Linked DNA regions of Caenorhabditis elegans. Changing the gene in region 1 together with any one later gene gives a genetic interaction. Each region holds a gene or a part of one and is shown in the gene's direction. Other genes may lie near its edges.

Region 1 (10,061 bases):
ATTTGTTTACATGACACACCTGGAATTTTGGATAATCCAAACATTGCTACTATCTTTAGAACGCCAGCATTGGCACAACACTAAGAATAGATTTCAAAAAAAAAATTCTTGCTAAATATATATTTTTGAGAGATATCCTGTCAAAAATTGAAAATTTCAATGTTTTCGAGTTTGAATCAAATCAAAATGATGTAAAAAAAGATTCTAGAAGTCTAGTTTTCCTTCTGATTAAAAAACAGCTATTTGGTCAATTTCCAAAGATTATGAGTGACGAGAACTACAGTTTCAAACAGTTTTTGAAAGTGTTTCTAATAAGTTTAATCAACTTCCTTTTCTAAATTTCATAAAGTTTAATTTTTTTAAATTAAGATTTATAATAAAATTAATAAAAATTGCATAATAACATCACAAAAAATTACAGACAATTCTAAGTTTTGTCAATGAGGAAATGGAGTAATTCCCGTAGTCTCGTCCCGTAGTCTCGTAATTTCACATATTTTCACCTCTTAAAAGCAAGAAAATGTCAGTCAAATTTTTTTAAAAGTGTCAAGTTTGAGAAACGTTTTGAATTTTTTAAACAATTACAGAAATCTAGTTTAAACCTCTACAAGATTTAGAAGGTAAACTATTTTAAACATAATCTTTTAAAATTTTTGCTGTGACTGAATTTTTTTTAACTTTGTTATTTTAGTAAGAATATTTCGATAAGATTCGTCATTAGTATTTAGTTTTGAGATTGATATTGCAGTATTTTCCAACAGCTGTCATCAACATCTTATGTATCCCAAAAGCGCCGAGCAGCAACAGCTGCGCATTTTTCATCAGAGAAGACAAAAAACACCATGAATTTTGTGTCGAATATTTCAAATGCACTTTAATGAAAGAAAGAGCACTCTGATTCCCAAAAAAACACTTTCAATGACTCACAAATCAATTAGACTAGTTCTGTTGATTCTTACTACAACTCGAGTGAATCGAGAACCGATTGCTCGACTCTTTGACTACGGTAATGTGTTTAACCAATGGGCAAGTGACGGGATTATGCAGTCAAGTGATAAGCGAAGTGATCAATTCAGAAAATAAAAACACACCATATGCATTGGGATAAGTCGACCTTGCCCAGTTAGTTGTTCTTCAGTTACTTTGCATCTCTCTTCGAAATACTCAATTTTTCCTCTTACTTTTTCTATTTTTTTCCTTCTCACCATGTGTGTTAGGTCACTTTACACATCAGCTTACCTGGCGAGGAGAAAATTGAAAAAGACAAGTGATAATCATTATGATAGGTACAGAGACATATCGAATACGAAATAAAAACTTGACGGTGATATTGATAATTAGAGAACGTTATTCGTATTTTTTGGTTTTACATGCGTTGGCCATACTGTTCTAAACTAATCACCGTTCTTGCGCAAAAATTCAACTCGAGTATTGATCAATTAGGACAACGTACATACGTATCAAATCAGTTGACAAAGAAAGACAAAAAAAAGAGACATTCTTTACTTGGCATTTTACATTTTCATTCTCTTAATTTTCATTTCAACTGTGAAGGGTTTGGATACCTTGGAACTAACATAATTGTTTTAAAGGATTTTATACATACAGTATATTCTCTATAAGTATTGCAATTTTTAACAATTTCAATGACTTATTTTTTTAGGAAGAACCAGCTGAATATTTTGAATTCTGATGTTTTTTAGCTGATTTACAAAATTGCACATCTACCTAATTTGATAATTTGAATCAAGCCACGGTAAAAAATATTGAAAAAAAAACATTTGATCTCGGTAAAACATTAAAAAATGGGGGAGTCCTATAAAACTTTCGCGGTCAAAACTTCCATAAGTTTAAAAAACTGATCTAAAAATAATTTTTAATTTTATACAAATTATGACGGCTATTTTGTAATATGAACATTTTCACAGTTTTTACAAGTTATGTTCCTTTTCACAAATTGAATGAGAGATTTTTTGATAGTTCAGAGCACCAGTTATTTTTTGACTTTTGCAAAAATTATCAATTGAAATTGTTGATCATTTATTTATCTATATTATGCTGTTTGAAAATGTTGTGAAATATTTGAAATAGGCCGCAATTTAAGCTATTAGAAGAGCTTAGCCAGGCTTCGGAAAATTTGTATTTCATACTATTCATCAAATCATATACTCTTTTTAAGATTGTCCTAATTTTTATTGTATTAAAAAATCTCAATTCTTGCAAATCCATCTGCTTCAAAACTTCCAAAAATTTCAAAAACTGTTTTAAATAATTTCTAATTTTATACAAATTTTGATAGCTATTTTAAATTCAATCAATTCTCAAATAAATCGAATGATATTTCAAACCTCACCAGTTGAATTATATTAAAAGTTTAATGTTGTGATGAAGAGAACTGTGAATGTGAAAATTACATTTCACATCAACACGAGTGTACGATAGAAATGTACAGTTTTTTCCCTTTTAAATGCTCATTTTCAACGCAACTCGCTCTTTGCCAACTCAATCTCGAAATGTCAACTTTTACTTTTGGCCGCACATTGTTAGCACGGTGAATAGTCAAATGAGAGTCCATTTAGTCATGCCCCCCCCCACGCTTTCCACGCGCCCCTTCATTTTTCTCCGCCATTCACCAACTTTTTTATTCATTTTTCCTTGGGACCATGCAACGACTACATACATGTCCACCACGACTTCATTGTGATTATTCATAGAGCCATTTGGCTTTTTGGGGGGAGCCGGCCAAACGGCATTCTTTCGCTTGCATAGGCAAATGTCGTATATCCAGAGTGTCAGCAGGGCAGGAGCAGCGCTAGAAGCACCGTCGTTTCAAATCGACGCCATCTAATATGCATATTTGAACAACTGCGCGGTTTTGCCCACAGATCTGGCCGCCGCAATGCCTTTTTGCCTTTTACTGGCTAAACATGAATCCGACCAGTGCGATCATCCACATTTCCTCGTTTTACAGTACAGCTGAAAACAAAAAAAGATAATGGAGCTTTTGAAGGAATGGGGACTTTGTAGGAAAAGATAATAGATAATCAAGAGAAGTACATCACGTTTCGAATTGCCTCAACTTTAGGGCTCATGTGTCAATGCTCATTTCGTTAAGCTGATGACCTCTCGATATCGCATCTGTTTCTCCATGTTTCATTCATACTACTACCTATTCTCCGTCTTATCCCTTTTTCCTTCCCAATTCTTTGTCTCTTTCTTGCCAAACAGAACAACACCTCCCGAATCAACATTTTATCCCCCCACAATCAATCACTCAATAAAATCCATCAAAAATCTTTTGATAATCAAAAATGCCTCGGTGCCTGACTGCCGAACAAGCCGGCGGGGCGTCGTCTTTTTTGTTAGCAGTTGTGTTGTCTGTCATCCTACGTAATTTTGTGAAGACTCGAATTCATGAGCCAAGTGGTGCTCAAAAGACTAGGTAATGAATGTGTAGTGTAATGGCCGGGAAGAGTGAGCCTCATACACAAGATATCATATCATCTTATCTCCAAGATGTATTTCGAAGAATCTTTTTTGAATATTTCACATTCTCCATTTTTACAGAGCTAACTGTTTTTTCAGCTTCAACTAGAAATTTTCTCAACAGTGAGAATGCAAATACTTTCAGAAAATGATGTGTAAGTGACAAACATAGGCACTCTCGGAGCTACAGAACCAATTTCTCTTCTTATCATATGCAAATTTGGCGTTTTTTAATACTCTAATGTGTTATTCAAAGCTTATCAGTCAAATTTTCTTTATGATCTCATACAGTTCGGCAACATCGAAGTTTAAATTTCAAATTAGGACGCGATAGATTTTACCCTAGTTTCGTTCCTAGATATTAGAATAACTTAGATAATAGAAGAAAAGTGATGCGAAAAACAGGGACTCGAAAATTGTTTTAAACAAAGTGTCCTATGCGAAATTCACTTCATTTCTTTTATTTTTCTCTTCCTCTCCCACATTTTTCGTCGAGAGCTATCATAACAAGAAGAGCTGAACGCGATGCAGCAGTAGCCGCAGAAAAATCAGATCGAATCATTAGGCGCATGCGACAATTGGCTGAAAAATACTGAGACACAAGTCGCACTAGAACGCTTGGCTGTCAGCTAGTTAGGTGCCGCTCGGCTTTTCCTCCCCACCCCGAGAGTGGTTGATTTTATGCCAATATTACAACTTCTAGGGTGGCTCATTTTCCTGAATCGCCGATGCGATCACCCTCGTCGGCAATGAGTGGCCCCCACGCGTTTCGCTTGATCCATGCCGCCGATTTGCTCACATGAAACACATTCTTCATTTTCTTTTCTCAATTGACGGAATATTACATTTTGTTTATCTCGATTCTCTTTTCTCAGTCAATCTTTTCTGATTCGTCATACCTTCATTCACCTTCCAGCTTATACAGTTTCGATTTATTTTTAATTTTCATCTATCAAAACCACATTCTCTGTCGGTCTTATCCAACAGTGTCTCTGTTTCAGACGTAAAAAGTCTCTATCATCATCCTCACAACACATATCATCAATGCAAGAAATATGAACACCTTGGAGAACACGTTTCAATTTCTCGCAGAAGTATTCGGTAGGTGATGCTTTATCAATATCCGTTTCTTTTTCTAATTGTCGACTCTTCGGAGTCTGGTCACAAATCAAGCGCGTTGCTGTAATAATTCATTTTGACTGATTTTCGTGAAAAGCTAATGACAACGGTATGTTATAGGCGATGATTGTCTACCTGGACGCAACAATTTTTTAAAAATGTTGGTCAGATGCTCTTTTTTTGCAGTTTTAAAATCCAAATTCACTTGTGTAAAAAAAAAAAAAAATTAGGCGTTTTTCAAAAATTGTATGGGTTTTTTGATGAAAAAGTGAAACTTTTTGCACTTTTGAGCAAAACAGTTTTGTTGGGTTTTTTCTTGTTTTTTGAGCCTGAAAATGAAATATATGTACATTAAGAAACTAATTCATGTGTATACTAAAATCGAAATGGTATGTATAAAATAATTAAATATTTTTTGGAGTAGCAAACTCAAAATTATCAACTTTAGTTTTAACAACTCCAGAAATAACTTTTGAGAAAATAAGGGTCAAAAGTTTTTTTGAATTTTTGAATGCATTTTTCTGTATAGAAAATTGTCAGAAATTCAAAAAATTATAATACTTGCAAAACATTAAAATAAATTTTGGATACTCGATATGAAATCACTTCAGACAAAAATTAATTTCCAATGTTACGCTACCAGCTTTTCAAAAAAATTGTAAAAATTTAAAGTTTGACGGTAAACATTTTCCAAAACTCATTTACACTTAAAAAGCGGTTTCATAGCGCTAAAAATTTTACAGTAAACATTTTGAAAGAATTTTCAATTTTTTTACAGTCAAAGAGTGGTTAAAATTTAGTTTTGACCTAACATTTTGAAAACATGTATGTAAGTGTAGCAATGCTCAAATGTTTTTCTTGAATTTTCACCAAAATAATTATGGAGTGTTCTATTTTGATATTCGGCCATCTTAGAGTATTATAAAAATTGTTAGAATGAGTTATTTGACAATTACATTCACTGAAACGTTGATCAGTTATTAAATACTGTAAGTTGATTTGTAGAACAATGTACACAAAATAAGTAACTCCAAATTATCAATTAAAAGTTTATCATTTCATTGAAAAATCACAGTAGTGAAAGTACTATCAAAACTTGATCTATTGATCACCGTTCCGTGTGTCCTTATTTTCGCGTTCCACTACTTACACAGATTAACTCAAGTTCAGCGTCGTTGATGTTAGCTTTCGAAAAAAAAAACTTCTGCGCGAATTTGATTGGCATCGTGAAAATGAGATAACATGTTCTGATTGCTCAAAAAAGGAACTTTTCTGACTAGATGCTGCTCCATATTTCTTGTGCACATTTTTCAGAAGCCAATGGTGGTTGCCTTGTCACAGAACGTGTCAGTCCATCTTTGTCGGGAGCCAGCAAACGAAAAAGTCGACCGGTGAAGAGGATCATCACTGAAGACGAAGTAATCCCAGAAGAAGAAGTGGTCGAAGAAGAGGAAGAAGAGGTGAGTCTTTTGAAAACAAACTGCTTTCCAATTGGCTTTTAAAGTTACCTTTTTTCTCAAATACGTTTTTATTTGCAATCAGTGAAAAAAAAAATTTAAGCTGTTTCATAAAACTTTATATATACTAAAATGATTAAAAAAGCTATGAAAATAGTTATAAAATACCACACATCTAAATTAGTCAGTAATGTTTTTCCACTCTCATCGGACCCAAAATCAGACCTTTCCAATTCAACTCGGCCATCCCAGCCCATCGCATCCATTTGCTTTCTCAAGATGAAGCAGTGCAATGAAAGTGTGGGATAATGCAATAAAGGGGTGGCTAAAAAGGAAAAGAGATGCGGGTATCGAGATAAGCAGATTCGGGAGTTGGCCCTTGTTTATGATGTAGGACAAAACTAAAAGTAGGCAGAGGAGAAAGCCGAGCCGCGTCGTTCTGTGTTTTCAACTTTTCATATTGGTCCTTTTTTTAGGCGAAATCTTGGGAAATTTAGTGATTCGTCAAGATAAAAATTTTAATTTAAACTGTTAATTTACTGTTCTGGGCATGATCCTATTTTTTATCTTTAATCATCTTATTAGGGAAAAAACAATTTTTAGTTTTTAGTGCAAAATTCCAAACGAACCAGTTTGTTGCCTGTCTCAAAAATTACATTTTCAAATATGGATAAAAATTTAAACCATCGTCTTATTTAAAAAGTATTTTTTTAATTTATTTTTTAACATAGATTTTTACTGTTATTGTTAATGTGTACATATTATTTTATTTTACTCTTCTGTATCTAGAAATTCTGCATAGTTAATTTTAAGAAAGGGCTCGAAACAGTAAGATTAACATTTTTGAATAAATGTTCTAAATTTTATTTATTAGAACTTTTAATGTCTATTTTCATGACCGTTTCATAAAGAAATAACTAAAAAAATATCGTAAAAATAACTTTAGAAATTGATTCAACTAGATATTCCTTATCATTTTTGACCGAAAAGATATTTGGAAAAAACAGTATTGAGATGACGGTCGCTAACTATTTTCAGCGACTGCCACTGTATATAAACTGCTTCACTTTTTATACATACCTTTTTAGCACAAAAGTGTATTTTCTAATTACTAAAATTTGTTAAATTTCAAGCCTTTTCTTCTCACGTTTTCCAACTTTTCCCACGCTGTAAAAATTTTTTGTTTCGTAGTATTTTAATTTTGGATTAAGGTTCAGTCAGGTCATTTTATCATTTTTTTTTAATTAAAAAACAAAATTTTTGAATGTATTTTCAGTTCTTTTTTCCTTTACTTTTGTAATTAATTTTCATAACTTCTATATTCACATTGAAATTGTATCAAACTACAGCAGCTCTGAACATTTTTGAGCATCCTCAATTTTTTTTCAAAATTAGAGACCTCTGGAAATAAAGAAAGTAGGTTGGCTGACCCAATCATGCTGCAGCATTTTTCAATAAGTATCATGACCCGTCGGTCGCTGAGTAATTGAATAAGTAATGAGCATCGTCGTTTTGGTCCTGAAAATGGAGTCGACGACGACGACGACAAAAAGATGAGATCTTCCTTTACGGAACGAAAACGCCGGCGGTCCGTGCTTCGCGTGTGTATGGGTATGAGAGAAACGACCCCACTGAATGACTCGAGTTTTCGACGAGCACTTCCAGATTTGCTTGTTTTTCACATCGTTCCATTTCTATTCCCCTTAGTTTTTCGTTTCTTTTTTTTCAATTGCCTCAGATTTATACATAGCTGGAACGAGAGGAGAAATATTTTTTGGCGTGTGCCATTCTACGCCCGTCCACCCATTTGGAACGCTTCTTCTTCTTTTTTCCCCCATTTGGTCCCCTTCTCAATGTTTTTTCTGTGACGACTGGTAGCACCCACTCGGGCAGAGATTCCACTCCATCCGTTTGCCGATGCAACATTTGTTGCATACATAAAACGGGGAAAAAGCCGGGGGAAAGCAGCGGCGAAAAAAAAACGCGGGAGGGAATTTGAAAAGTGAGAAGCTGCAAGTGTAGTAGGTCGTTTCTGTTTCTCATTGGGACCATCAAACGACTTCTCTTTTGTTTTCGCAACGACCCCCTCCTCATCTCTCCTCTCGATTTCATTTTCCCTTTTTTTGTAACACTATTTTCCCAGGTCCGGTCATTTGTCTGTTTTTCTATATCTCTTGCTCCCCTTTTCCCTCTTTCTCTCTCTGATCCTTGACTACCACAGCTGTTCATTATAAAAAGGTTCTGATAACGATCAGTGGTCAATAATGATATAAAGTGTGTATGAACAATTGCTCTAACTTGCCCAAAATGGTCCCAAATAGAGAATTTTCGTAGTGACGCGTCTGGAATTTTTCTGAAAACAGGGCTAAGCTCTCCAATTTTGCAATTTTTCGTCACAGCGGCCGGAAATTAATTTTTATTCGATTTCACCTCTGCATACTTTGGCAGTTGAGTTTTTTGTGTTGAATTAGGTAAATTTTCAGTCGATAAGTGCACAAACTTTAGCAATTTTAGCCCTTTTAATCAACATCCTGCAAACAACTAATTTCAGGTTCAGGTTTTTGAAAAGTATACAAATTGAAGTTTTTGAAAAAAAAGTGAACTTCTTATTTTAGGTAACCTGAATTCAATTCAGTTAAATTCAATTTAATATTTTGAAAACTCATTTCAAGACCTTTAATTTTAATTATTGAAAACCAAGTTTGCACTTGCATTCTGAACTTGGAAATCGGAGGTGTTTAAAGTAAAAGCTCCCTGAAACCCAGAATTTAAAGCTTCCAAGTATTTGATTAACATCCTCTGGTATTCAACAATTTCAGAAAATTGAAATTTTCTAAGAGCGCAATCACTTACTTAAAATTCTAAATCAGTTGGTTAACCCTATTTTGCATGATTTTAATAACCATACATGCAAAATTAAAATGTGCACGGGATTGCAAAACTTGATTGATAAAACTTCCTGATATTGTAAGCGAACTCTCCCAACTTATGAAAAAAAAATATTATTTGCAAAATTATCTTATTCAAAAAATATGTTTATCTTTCCAAAAAAAAAACACTAAAGAAGAAGTACCCAATCAGCAAAATAAAGTTCTTTCACCCAAACAAGTGCACATTTTTGCTGACCCCTATTCCCTCATCCTCTTCTCCAACCATTTCTTCTTTTTTTCTGATTTATTTCATGCAGCTTCACTTACAACTCCATATTCTTTTTGGTCACCAATTCTTATTTTGCTGATTAACGATTACTCAGCTTTCCTTATCATAACTTGTGGGGCTTATTATAGATTTTTTTGTGTCGCCCAAAATTTTTCATCATTGACGTTATTTCTAAGAAGTCCAAAATTTCAGATATCATTAGGGACAAGTTAATCAGTAATAGGCACCGCCTATATCTTGGCTTTTGATTTTTTTCTCACGAAGCATTTTTATATTTAAAACAAAAATCCCACGGATGATCACTTTAAAATTTAATAAAATATTTTTGCGCATTTCCAATGTTTCAACAATTTTTAACTACTTTTCAGAAAGTTGAACAGCCATCAGAAGAAGTAACATGTCCAGCAATGCAGGTAGATGCCACGGATGCAATTCTGGCATCGCTCAGGCAAATAGCGAATAATGATCTCAGTGAGCACTGTATCAGGTTGGTTTTGTACATTCTTATTTGTTTTTTTCTCAAATAGCCAAATAGTTCTAGGAATTTTTGAAATATGATCTAAAGGAAATATGTTTTTTTCGATGCTGCTCATTTGCATATTCAGAGGTCCTTTCGAAATTACGCGGCTAAGCAAACATTTCGTTCGTGGCATGGGAACCAGAACATTTTGTTCAATAGTTTTTAGAACTTTGTATAGTTTTTGTACTGTATGTACATGTTTATATTTTTTGAGAAGATGTTTTGGAATCAAAAGTATTTTTTAGAAACATTAAACTTTTAGCAAAAAGTTATTTTTACCAAAACAATTTGCTCTTTGCATTTCGCACTTTTATTCTTTC
Region 2 (10,061 bases), on another chromosome or scaffold:
AGATTTGAAAAGTAATCTGAATACTCAGGATTTGTGCGATGTATCTCGATTATATCGTGTGATCGGTGATGATAGGTACAATTTTTGAGATTATGATTGAAAAAAATGAATTGAAAAAAATACAGTCATGATATTTAGTATAAAAAACGTAAAATAAACAAAAATTCTCAAATTTTGGAAAAAACAAATCATTCTTAAATATGAAAATGTAATTTTAAAAAGGCAATCTCCATATTCTAAAGAACCTTTTTTTAAACAAAAATCAACTTATTAAAATTTTAATAACTCTAGTTGTCTTAGTTTTAAAAAAATTCAACTTAAGTAATATCGCATTAATGCGAAAACGCAGATTTAAATATGGAATTAATGTTCATCAAGAGAGAATCCAATTTTTCTTGTTGCAAAATCGAAAAAAACAAAAAGCCAAAAAACGGCAAAAATGTGGTTTTGTAAATTTTTTCTGAAAACTTCAAAATTCAAATTTTAAACGACTTAATTGTAAGCATCCTATATATTATCTTACAATTATCATTGAAAGGGCGTAAATTCTATGAAAATATCAGAATAAAACAAAGAAAAATTCAAAAATATACAAGTATTTTTTCATAAATTTTTAGGTTTTTTTCAGTTTTTTAAAAGGCAAATCGATAAATCTTCATTTCCAGAGTAATAATCCTCCGATCGCAACCAATGTCACCCCGAAACTCTGGCGATACTTGTGACGTCAGCTTACTTATGGGACATACGGATACTCCAATCGCTGGATAAGATCTCTCTCATCGCATATATCTGCTTTTGTTTCCAGAAGAAAAAAACGTATTTAACCTACACATTTTCCCTACACCGGGTCACAACTCATGTATTCTGCTTTCTCCTCACTCGATTCTAGTTCATCATTATTTCACGCATAATTTAATAGAAAAAAAACCAAAATTCCCCCACCATCATCACCAATTCCTGTAAAATAAATCAATTTGTTGATCTCCTCGCTCTTTCCACCATTTTCTCCCAATTTCCGTGTTCGTTTCTTTTGTGTCAACTAATTGCCTTACCCTATCATATAAATACCGAAAAGTGCCCAATTTTATTATCAAATGGTTTTTTTGTTTCGCCTGATTCACTTTTTCATCGAGCTTCTTCTGTTTAACGCGCAATTTTCTTTTCCTTTTTTCTTGCATCCGTGTTTTTGTATAAAATAAGTCTTGTTATTTATTTTGAACCGGAGAGCTGTTACGAAATAATATCACTAGAATTTAACCGGATTAAGTGACCAGAAGATCAGGGTGGTAAACATTGCAGCCAACACAATGTAAATGAAGAGAAAATTCAGCGGTAGTTCTGTGGTGAGAAGTCTGAAAAAAATTCCGAATTTGAAATAAAATTTTGAAAAATTGCTCACCTTGAAACAGCGCCGGGCTTCTTTCGTCGTGGAGTTTTCGGTTTTCCACTCGAAATTGATGTTTTCTTAGAGCTGCTTGCAGTAGTCTTACTTGTCTGAAACAACAAATCTTTGAAATTGAGGTGCAAGCGCGCTCCATGGGTCAATTTGAATTTAGTGGTTTTCCGCCAATACCTAACGAGACCCATCTGTTGGGGGCGGAGCGTTTTCATTTTGACATGGAGCGCGTTTGTTTTCAAATCATTCTGATTATTCAAAAATAATTTTAACTTACCTTATTCATGATTTAGTCGAAATAAAATAAAAATAAAGGAAAAATAAAGCGTCGTGGAAATTTTTAAAAGTAAAAAAAAGTTTCACGGCGAATTTTTTAAAGAAATAAATAAAAGATAGAAAACAATAAATTTTATTTAAATAAATATCTATAACGACAAGTTTTTACATCTACAGAAAAAAAGAGAGAGCGAGGAACCAGTGAAAATGAATAATTCTTAATCATTTACAAGACTGAATAGTGAAATTATGTTATAGTATTAAGAAGTGAAATGATGCTCTATAATATGATAAGGATTGTGTATATTCTACAACTAACTATGCGTGAATGGAATTATGAAAGTGATGAGGGATGTGGTGAGGGTGAAAAAACATGTACAGTACATTGAAGCGAATTAATAAAATTACTTCCATTTTATCGACGGATTGTTGAGAGCCGCCACCGCTTTGAATGATTCCACAGAATTTGTTTTCAGAGATTTCGCGTATGAAGCCAGCGAGAGACGATCTCCTTTCTGTGTCAGACACTCGATGACCATTTCAGGAACATCAAATAGTAGTGCTAGGCGAAGACGTTCTTGTGCATCAGATTCGCCTTTCAGGATACGGTAGATGAACTGAAAATTTACACACATGAATAATAGGTATCTTGTTAAAACTATTCCTCACATCAGTCGGTGGAGATGGATGAGATCGTTTTACAATAGTCAGCAAATTGTGATTATTGATGGAAACTCCCCATTTACTGGTTGATTTTTTGCCTTTGAACACACCTGAAATTCAGTTAATTTAGATATTTTCTCAGCTAAAACCACAAAATTACTTTTAGCTGCACTGAACGTCATGGTGATAGTTTTCGGTTGAAGTAGCTTATCGATATCTGGCCAACGGCTTAGTCGAGTCAACGCTGAGACGATCGTTTGAGTGGCAAGTCGATCATTGAATCGGATCAATGTTTGAACTGATGGTAGAGAAGCTGCAGATGTCTGTAATACATCGATTATGAATGATTTTGCAACGTTCTGAAGAGTAATGTACCGGTGAATCGTCGTAATGGTACATCGCTGAATAATACAGTGACGATAGAGCAGGTAATCCAATTAGAGAGCTGGTTTTTGGAAACTTTCGGAAATGTTCTCCTTTATCTCCAGCATCCATTTTCTCCATTTGCAATTGGATTTCATAGTTTCTCATCAACGCTTCCATTTGTCGGGCTTCAAATTTCATTTCAGGAATTGAGAAGCTACCATGAAGCATGGTTCGGAGCAACGGGACTCGCTTGTCTGGATTTCGTTTGTATTTTCGCGTAGCTTCGAATTCAATGACAGATGCATGTTGATACTGACCAATGCTACTATAAAATGGGGAAATTGATTTCAACAAATTTTAATTTAGTTTTTATTAAATACCGTAAAAACTTGTTCATCTTGTCCCACTCGCCGGTGATCTGAAGATGTCGTGTGTAAACTCGGCATGCACTTTTCTGGCCATCCATTATTTTGCAGAATATGTTTTCCTTGAGAGTTCTCTCTAGAAAAATCACAATCTGTAAAGAAAGATAACTTTTTAAAAAATTAGTATCATAGCTGTTCGGACCTTGAAAATTGTATTATTGTCGTACGTGGCAACTGCTTGCTTCAAAAGTTGTGTCTTATCACGTAATGACCTATAGTAATCCAGTGTTACAGTATGCCCTTGAAGCATTCTCTTGATACTAGCCTCGATTGTAAGCGGCTGAAACCGTTCGTGGCGAAGAACCTAGAATCATAATTATCTTCAAAATTCTATATTAAAACTTTAATAGCTAACTTCGTGCTGATCTTTAAGTTTCCGATGTTCTTGTCTCAATCGATTATAATCCAAATCAAGACGTTGTGCTTCACTTGGTAAACTACTTGCACTTGCTTCAGAAACCACAGATGGAGCGGTCTGAATAACTGGCGCCACGTTAACGTTCTCAGCGAATTTCATGTTCAAGAAATCATCTACAATCTTGCCAGAAGCCCGAGGAGAGGTACTGCAAATTACTTATTTATATTCATAAAACAATGTAATTAACTTACTCTGTTATTCGAATATTCGCCTTGTCTGACACAGCAGCAGCTCTTCCGTCAATTTGCAGTGGAACATTTGTGGGAGTTGGCGTTGGGTTCTGCGGTCGGACGTACGGCTTCGGAGTCTCATCGCCACCGAAGAGATTGTCGACGGCTGCTCGAGCTTGAAGCTTTAATTTTCGTGTTAAACACATTGATTTGAGCAATATAATAATTAAGAAACGTGTTAATTTACTTTTTTTTCAATTTTTTAAAAGTAAAACATCTGGTCACGTTTATAGTTTTAAAAGATTTTTTTCGTTTTTTCTTAATATAATAACTACGTTAAAACTTACTTGTTTTGATTGTAAATCATCAAACAATCCGGATGAATTCGAGTCAGATTCATTCCAATAACTGTCTTCCGGAAGTTCAAAAGTGAATTTCCTTCGAAGGGCCATTCTTTATAATATTATCATTTCTTTTGCAAAGTATCTGAAAGAAACTATAAGAATGAGAAAAAATAGATAAAATTTTATGGGAAAATGGGAAAAGAATTCAATAAAAAATAAATGCAGAGAAAAAAAACGCAATTGACATGAAACGAGAAAAAGAGAAGAAAGGCAACTGCGTGCACGCTCCTTGCAAAAACTGCGTGCCAGGATTGCGAAGGCGGGGCTTATGAATGAAGCGCGAGTTTGAATCAAATAAAATTATTTTTTGCTCTTGGCCTAAAGAAAATCGAATTAAAGCTTTAGTTTCTAGTAATTCGTAAAATAATTTTTTTAATCGAAAATAGAACACAAAATTGTCTAGTTATATTAACTTTTAGACCTGATCCGACGTTCGTATGAACTAGAAATCTAGAAGATCACAAAGGCGCGAAATTTTGATTTTAGATTTTTCTGTAACTCGGTGGCGGGAAAATGTGAAATTATATTTTCAATCGTTTTATCATCATTTGGAATCATTTCTGCACTTGTCTTCTGTTGTCTTGTCTTTTCTTTACCCAGTTCCTCATTTTTCTTTATTCAACTTTTTTTTTCAGAATGCAAAACACACAGATATTTACTAACTTCGCTCACAGAGCACATGATGGGTATGTTTATCATTTTTAAATGTTGGTATTAAGTATTTCTTTTTCAGATTACCGTTTAACAGTGCGAATCCTTCCAACAAAGATCCAATTTTCACAATGCCAATATCGGTCAAACCGAAAACTCGTGAGCCGGCTTCTTTCACAGATAACAGGTAAATTTGTCGTGCCGTTTTAATGAATTCATCAAAAAACTTTTAGGATATATGTCAGCAATATTCCCTTCTCGTTTCGTGAACAAGATTTGGCGGCAATGTTCTTCGCGTGAGTTTTCAATTTACAACAAGTTCTGAATAAGAATATTAATTTCAGATATGGAAGAGTCCTGAGTGTGGAAATCGTCACAAATGATCGTGGATCCAAAGGGTTCGGGTTTGTCACACTCGATTCCATCGAATCCTGTGAGAAAGCTCGTGCTGCGCTTCACGAATCACATGTTCAAGGAAGAATTATAGAAGTGAGAAGAGCGACACCAACCCGCAGAAAGCTTATCAACAATCCACAAAATGAAGTTTTGCCACCACCAAAGCTGTGTGTCGATCTTCGAGCCCCTCATAATTTATGGAGAGCTGAGCCAATGCATCAGTTGTTCAAGGAAAAGGAGAACACAACATGTTTTCCCGAAGCTGGATTCATGATGGCACCATACCGTAGCAATGGAATTTTCAACACGCGTAGTCTTGTGCAGACCAAACCACCTCGATGCACCAAGCACAGCGAGCTCAAGCTTTCTTCAGCTGGTGAATACTTCTGCAAAAACGGCGAGCCTACGACGGAAACAAGTATTCTGATGTGCATGCACAGACAAAACTCACCATGCAGCAATAAGTGTTCTGATTCTTCGAATCACGAGCTGTCTGATGTGGAGTTGAACTCTATATTCCCACATCATCTTCGTGACCAGATTACTGCTCTTCTCGACACTTCAAACCATTTTGGATCAGGAAATAATAGTGCTAACAAAGGAAAGAGAGCACCATCTGTGACATCTTCTGGATTGAGATCATCAGAGAGCGAGACAGTTTCAGGTAAATAGTTTAGATTCTAGATTGTCGATTTTCATTTAAAAATCAAATTTTAGACGAAGAGATTCATTGGTCCCCACATAACAGCCCTGATTATCTTCTCGCTGCTCTCTACGAAGGTTCCACATCGTTCCACGGAAAGTCTGTTTCTCCACCAAAAGAATCGTCAAGCCAGTAATCAGTTCAACTGATACGCCCATTTTATTTCTACTAACTGCGTGTTTTGCATTTTATCGAACACCCCTAAACTTTCACTTAACCAAAAAGCTTTAACAAATTTTTTACGGAATCTTCTTGTACAGCGACACTCGTTGTCCTTGTCAAATGATTCGTTGCTAGTTTTTCTTCCCTGTAGCTTCTATATCGACCCCCCCGGTGTTATTTTGTAGGAATGCGTTTCAGCATCTTCCCTATTTTGCCATCTCTCACATACACTCAACATTAGCAATCGGAAAACAGATCTTCTATATTGAAAATATACTACCAGTCCGTTTAACCTACCTCGCTTGCTAACATTATTGAATGTGCCCACGTATTGTATTTTCTGAGCATCTTTCTGTTTTTTTTGTATTTTATAGACGCTGTGTTCGCCAGTTATTTTTGCATTCCTGTATTGCTCGAAGTCAAATGAAGTGCTTCGCCATATTCAATTGTTTTATTTTCAAAATCACCCGTTAATACTAGATTTCAGTTTGAATTTAATCACAGTTGTGAAAGATCATTATCCCGGCGTGTCATTGAGAGATCAAATGTTATCTTTCGGCACCTCTTGGCCTTCCTCCATTCATGATCAGAAGATTCACTCTCTTCTAAAATGACGTCGTGAGAGACTGCGGGAAGAGAAAAGGACGATGGCTGTCGGCACTTTGTGGATGCTGCTGGAAAAGTTTGGTGAATTTTGAAGTTTTGTGGTTTTTGATGATAACTTCAAAATGGATGGGAAAACACGAGAGAGAGAGAGAAACTTACGGATTTGAAGAGTGGGTGGAGAGGAAGGGTACAAACTGCTTCGCTCCTCATCATTTCCTGTGCCACGTCGACTTCGATTTTGACGACTTGAAAGTGTTGCGAAGAAGGACATTCGACGGGATTTCGATCGTCGACAACCACCGCTTACCCAACAAAATAGGCACGAAACAGGAATGAAGATACCTGAAATAAATATGCATTATTAGGCAAACTTGGAATTTTCATAGTTTTTTCCTATAGATTTTGATTTTCTCTAAAATTCCCCAGCGCCTATATTACAGGAACACTATTTACATTTTGAGAATGCGAATTGCACAACATCTGACGCGCAAAATATCTCGTAGCGAAAACTACAGTAATTTTTTAAATGACTACTGTAGTGCTCGTGTCGATTTACGGGCTCAATTTTCGAAAATATTTTCTCGAACTTTGGCAGCGATTATCAATTAAAATTATTTACAATTCGAAAAAGCGAAGCAAAATTGAAACCCGCTGTCCAAATTCGAAAAGAAAACATTTTCGAAAATCGACACGAGCACTACAGTAGTCATTTAAAAAAATTACTGTAGTTTTCGCTACGAGATATTTTGCTCAATACGCATTCTTGAAATTCAGTGTTCTCGTAATATCATATAGGAATGGCCCCTTAACACACTAAAACAAGAATCCCGACATGTAATTTGTCACCATCTTCGTTTTCTTCCCAAAAACAATATAGTTATTTTCTTTCCATATTTTTTGACGTCAACTTTCAAAATAGGCAATTATTTTCACCCAATCTCTTTCAGCACACCGCGGATTATGCATCTCTTTGCCTGCTTTGCGTTCACCGCTTATTCATCAACATGAGAAGAGCTCAGTGACGAGTTAAAACAAACAAGAAACGAAGAGTTCCGTCTGCAATTACTCCCTTTACTCGTTTCACCGAAAAAAGCAAACGAACGGGTGCTCTGAATGAAAACGAACAAACATCGACGGCTTCTTCCGCCAATTTAATTGATACAAAACTTTGACTACAGTAGTTTTGTTTTGGTTTCTTTAAATAGGCTAATCAAGATGAGAGCAAACATCTGAATAGCATATGAACAAGAATTAACGAATGTTTACTTTTTCAAAATTTACACCCTAGGTTATACTATCCAGTCGCAAAATTTTGCAATTTTTCCGCCAAAAATACCGCAGCCGGTCTCGACACGACAATTTTTGTTACATGGAAATTGTTGTGTGCCTTTAATGAGTACTGCATTTTAAAATTCATTGCTGCGGAAGTTTCATCAATTTTTAATTATTTTTTTGGAAAAAAAAAATATTTATTTACAAAAAATCAAATATAACATTAAAACCGGATTTAACAAAAAATTGTCGTGCCAGAACCGGGTACCGTATTCTTGAACATTTTGGTATACATCGTTTTCCGAAACGTGGACAGTTTTCGAGTTAACTGCCAAACTCTCGGACTAAGAACATAACGCTTGGCGTAGGAGAAGCCGTTGCTATATTTATTTATATTTCCCTACTATAATATTTGTTAGCCGAGTAGAGACGAATCATCTCTGGTCTCAACCCTTGCTTAATGAATTTGATTATGGGCACAATGCAATCCCTCCATGCACTTCGCGTACAATATATATTTTTTAATATTATCATTATTTCTTCTTAAATGAGAATCAATAAGATGTCCTTGTACAAAAATTTTTTTAAGCGTGCGTGACGTCACACGCAGCCTCGAATTTTTGATAGGACCCAGTGTCCTTATAGACTTAGCTTGTAAGCATACCGGTAAAAATTGCGAAAAAGATAACAGCTAAAAATGCAACAAAATTGAGTTGGCACACAAGATTCGGCATATGCCCAATGCAGTAAGAAACCAAGGATCCACATTCAGCAGTGCACTCTTCCTGAAATAAAGCAACGTCATCAACCTTCAGTTTTCACTTTCCACGAATTGCTCTCTCATCTTCATTTCAAGCCTTTCAACCGGAAACCGCCCAGGCTTTTACAGAATAAGGAAATAATATTGAATAGAGATCGAAGCACGAACTTCTTGTTCTAGAAGCAGGTGCAATTAATAAAAAACTACATTTTTCCAAGTATTTGTTAGGTCTCTTTCATTTGGATTTCCTATAGATGGCGATCAAACTGTAGCTCACCATAGACGAATAAACAGGATAAGCTGTGTCCATGTCCATAGTCAATCCATGTCGAAGCTTGTGTTTTGATTGTCTGGAAATTTAAATTAAACGTACAATTTTAAAATCTGTTATGATCCTCGAAAAATCATTGGTTGAATAAGCGGATGTTTGTTGTTTACAAAGTATGGAAGGTAAATAATTTCAGATTCAAATAAAACATTTCTTGACCACATGTAAATATGCAAAGAAGATTGGCCACCTAGATTCGTAAAGTATTGGAAACTATGTGAATCCATCAGATTTGCTCCCAATACCTTCACTTTAATAACTGTGATCTCGGTTTAATTTTTGTTAGATCTCAGGTACACATACTTTTTCTTATATTTTTGAAAAAAGAAGACCACCGAGAATATAAGCTGTCAAATTTAAGCGGTGTGGTGCACGATTATTTGAGGAGAATTGCTGTTTGAATGTGAATAATACCTGGGGGGGGGGGGGGGGGGTGATTTGATGAAAAAACATTTATGTATGGCTAAAATAACCAAATCAGCTTTGCCAGCCATATTCCAATAACTTTTGAATTTTCAAAAAATGTACAGTCAAAAAGTCATCCAAAAACGAATGTTTCCTACTGATTTTGTATTCTAAAAAATTGTTACTTTTTTTTTTAATATTTGTAAATTATAGCATTGTAAATTAAAACATCAAACATGAGCCACTACTTTTCACTAAATTTTTCAAAACCACAAATTTTTCTCAAAGTTTGTTAAAATTTGGAAATTCACCTTGACTACTTCACAAAAACGTGTAGAAAGTGTAACTGGGAAAAAACAGAAAAAAAACAAATACAGTAGTTGAAAACTGAATCGAACGACTTGTCGGAGAAGTCAGGAAAATGGCAAAATTTTATAAAAAACAAGTTGAAAAAGTCGGTAGAACTCTTTTTTCTAGTCCTGACAGATGATAGAAATTATGGAAATTTAGAGAGAAAGTTTGGGACCATAGGACAGAGGAGGCGGACTTAACCGAATGGAATGCTATAAAAAAGAAGAAGCGGTTTGTCGAAAGAAAGCTGTGGGAGGGTGTGGTCTCCTAAAGATGAAAAAGAGTAAGAGAAAAAGACTTGTGCACAAC

The links.
Region 2: of ceh-18 (region 1) and spn-4, a change in one rescues a mutant of the other (synthetic rescue), as found in Caenorhabditis elegans (one study listed by BioGRID).

The regions. Positions count from the first base shown.
Region 1 is NC_003284.9:3,852,224-3,862,284, reverse strand, and holds the start of ceh-18 (Homeobox protein ceh-18), read left to right. Parts: upstream 1-4,487; 5' UTR 4,488-4,541; coding exon 4,542-4,587; intron 4,588-5,918; exon of another isoform or gene 5,919-5,919; coding exon 5,920-6,065; intron 6,066-7,853; exon of another isoform or gene 7,854-8,062; intron 8,063-9,589; coding exon 9,590-9,708; intron 9,709-10,061. UniProt on the Caenorhabditis elegans protein: Directs gonadal sheath cell differentiation and function. Also directs gonad migration and plays a role in specifying the differentiated phenotypes of epidermal cells during postembryonic development.
Region 2 is NC_003283.11:6,779,596-6,789,656, reverse strand, and holds spn-4 (RRM domain-containing protein), read left to right. Parts: upstream 1-4,753; 5' UTR 4,754-4,754; coding exon 4,755-4,804; intron 4,805-4,851; coding exon 4,852-4,956; intron 4,957-5,002; coding exon 5,003-5,065; intron 5,066-5,113; coding exon 5,114-5,829; intron 5,830-5,882; coding exon 5,883-6,004; 3' UTR 6,005-6,470; downstream 6,471-10,061. Other genes in the region: gck-2 (Mitogen-activated protein kinase kinase kinase kinase), read left to right, coding at 1-75, 666-768; ZC404.2 (ABC transporter permease), read right to left, coding at 1,247-1,352, 1,400-1,494, 1,674-1,682; spe-39 (Spermatogenesis-defective protein 39), read right to left, coding at 2,077-2,289, 2,342-2,445, 2,496-2,658, 2,711-3,026, 3,082-3,218, 3,269-3,430, 3,482-3,689, 3,736-3,896 and 1 more; ZC404.15 (uncharacterized protein), read right to left, coding at 6,529-6,704, 6,796-6,978, 8,573-8,693, 8,946-8,984.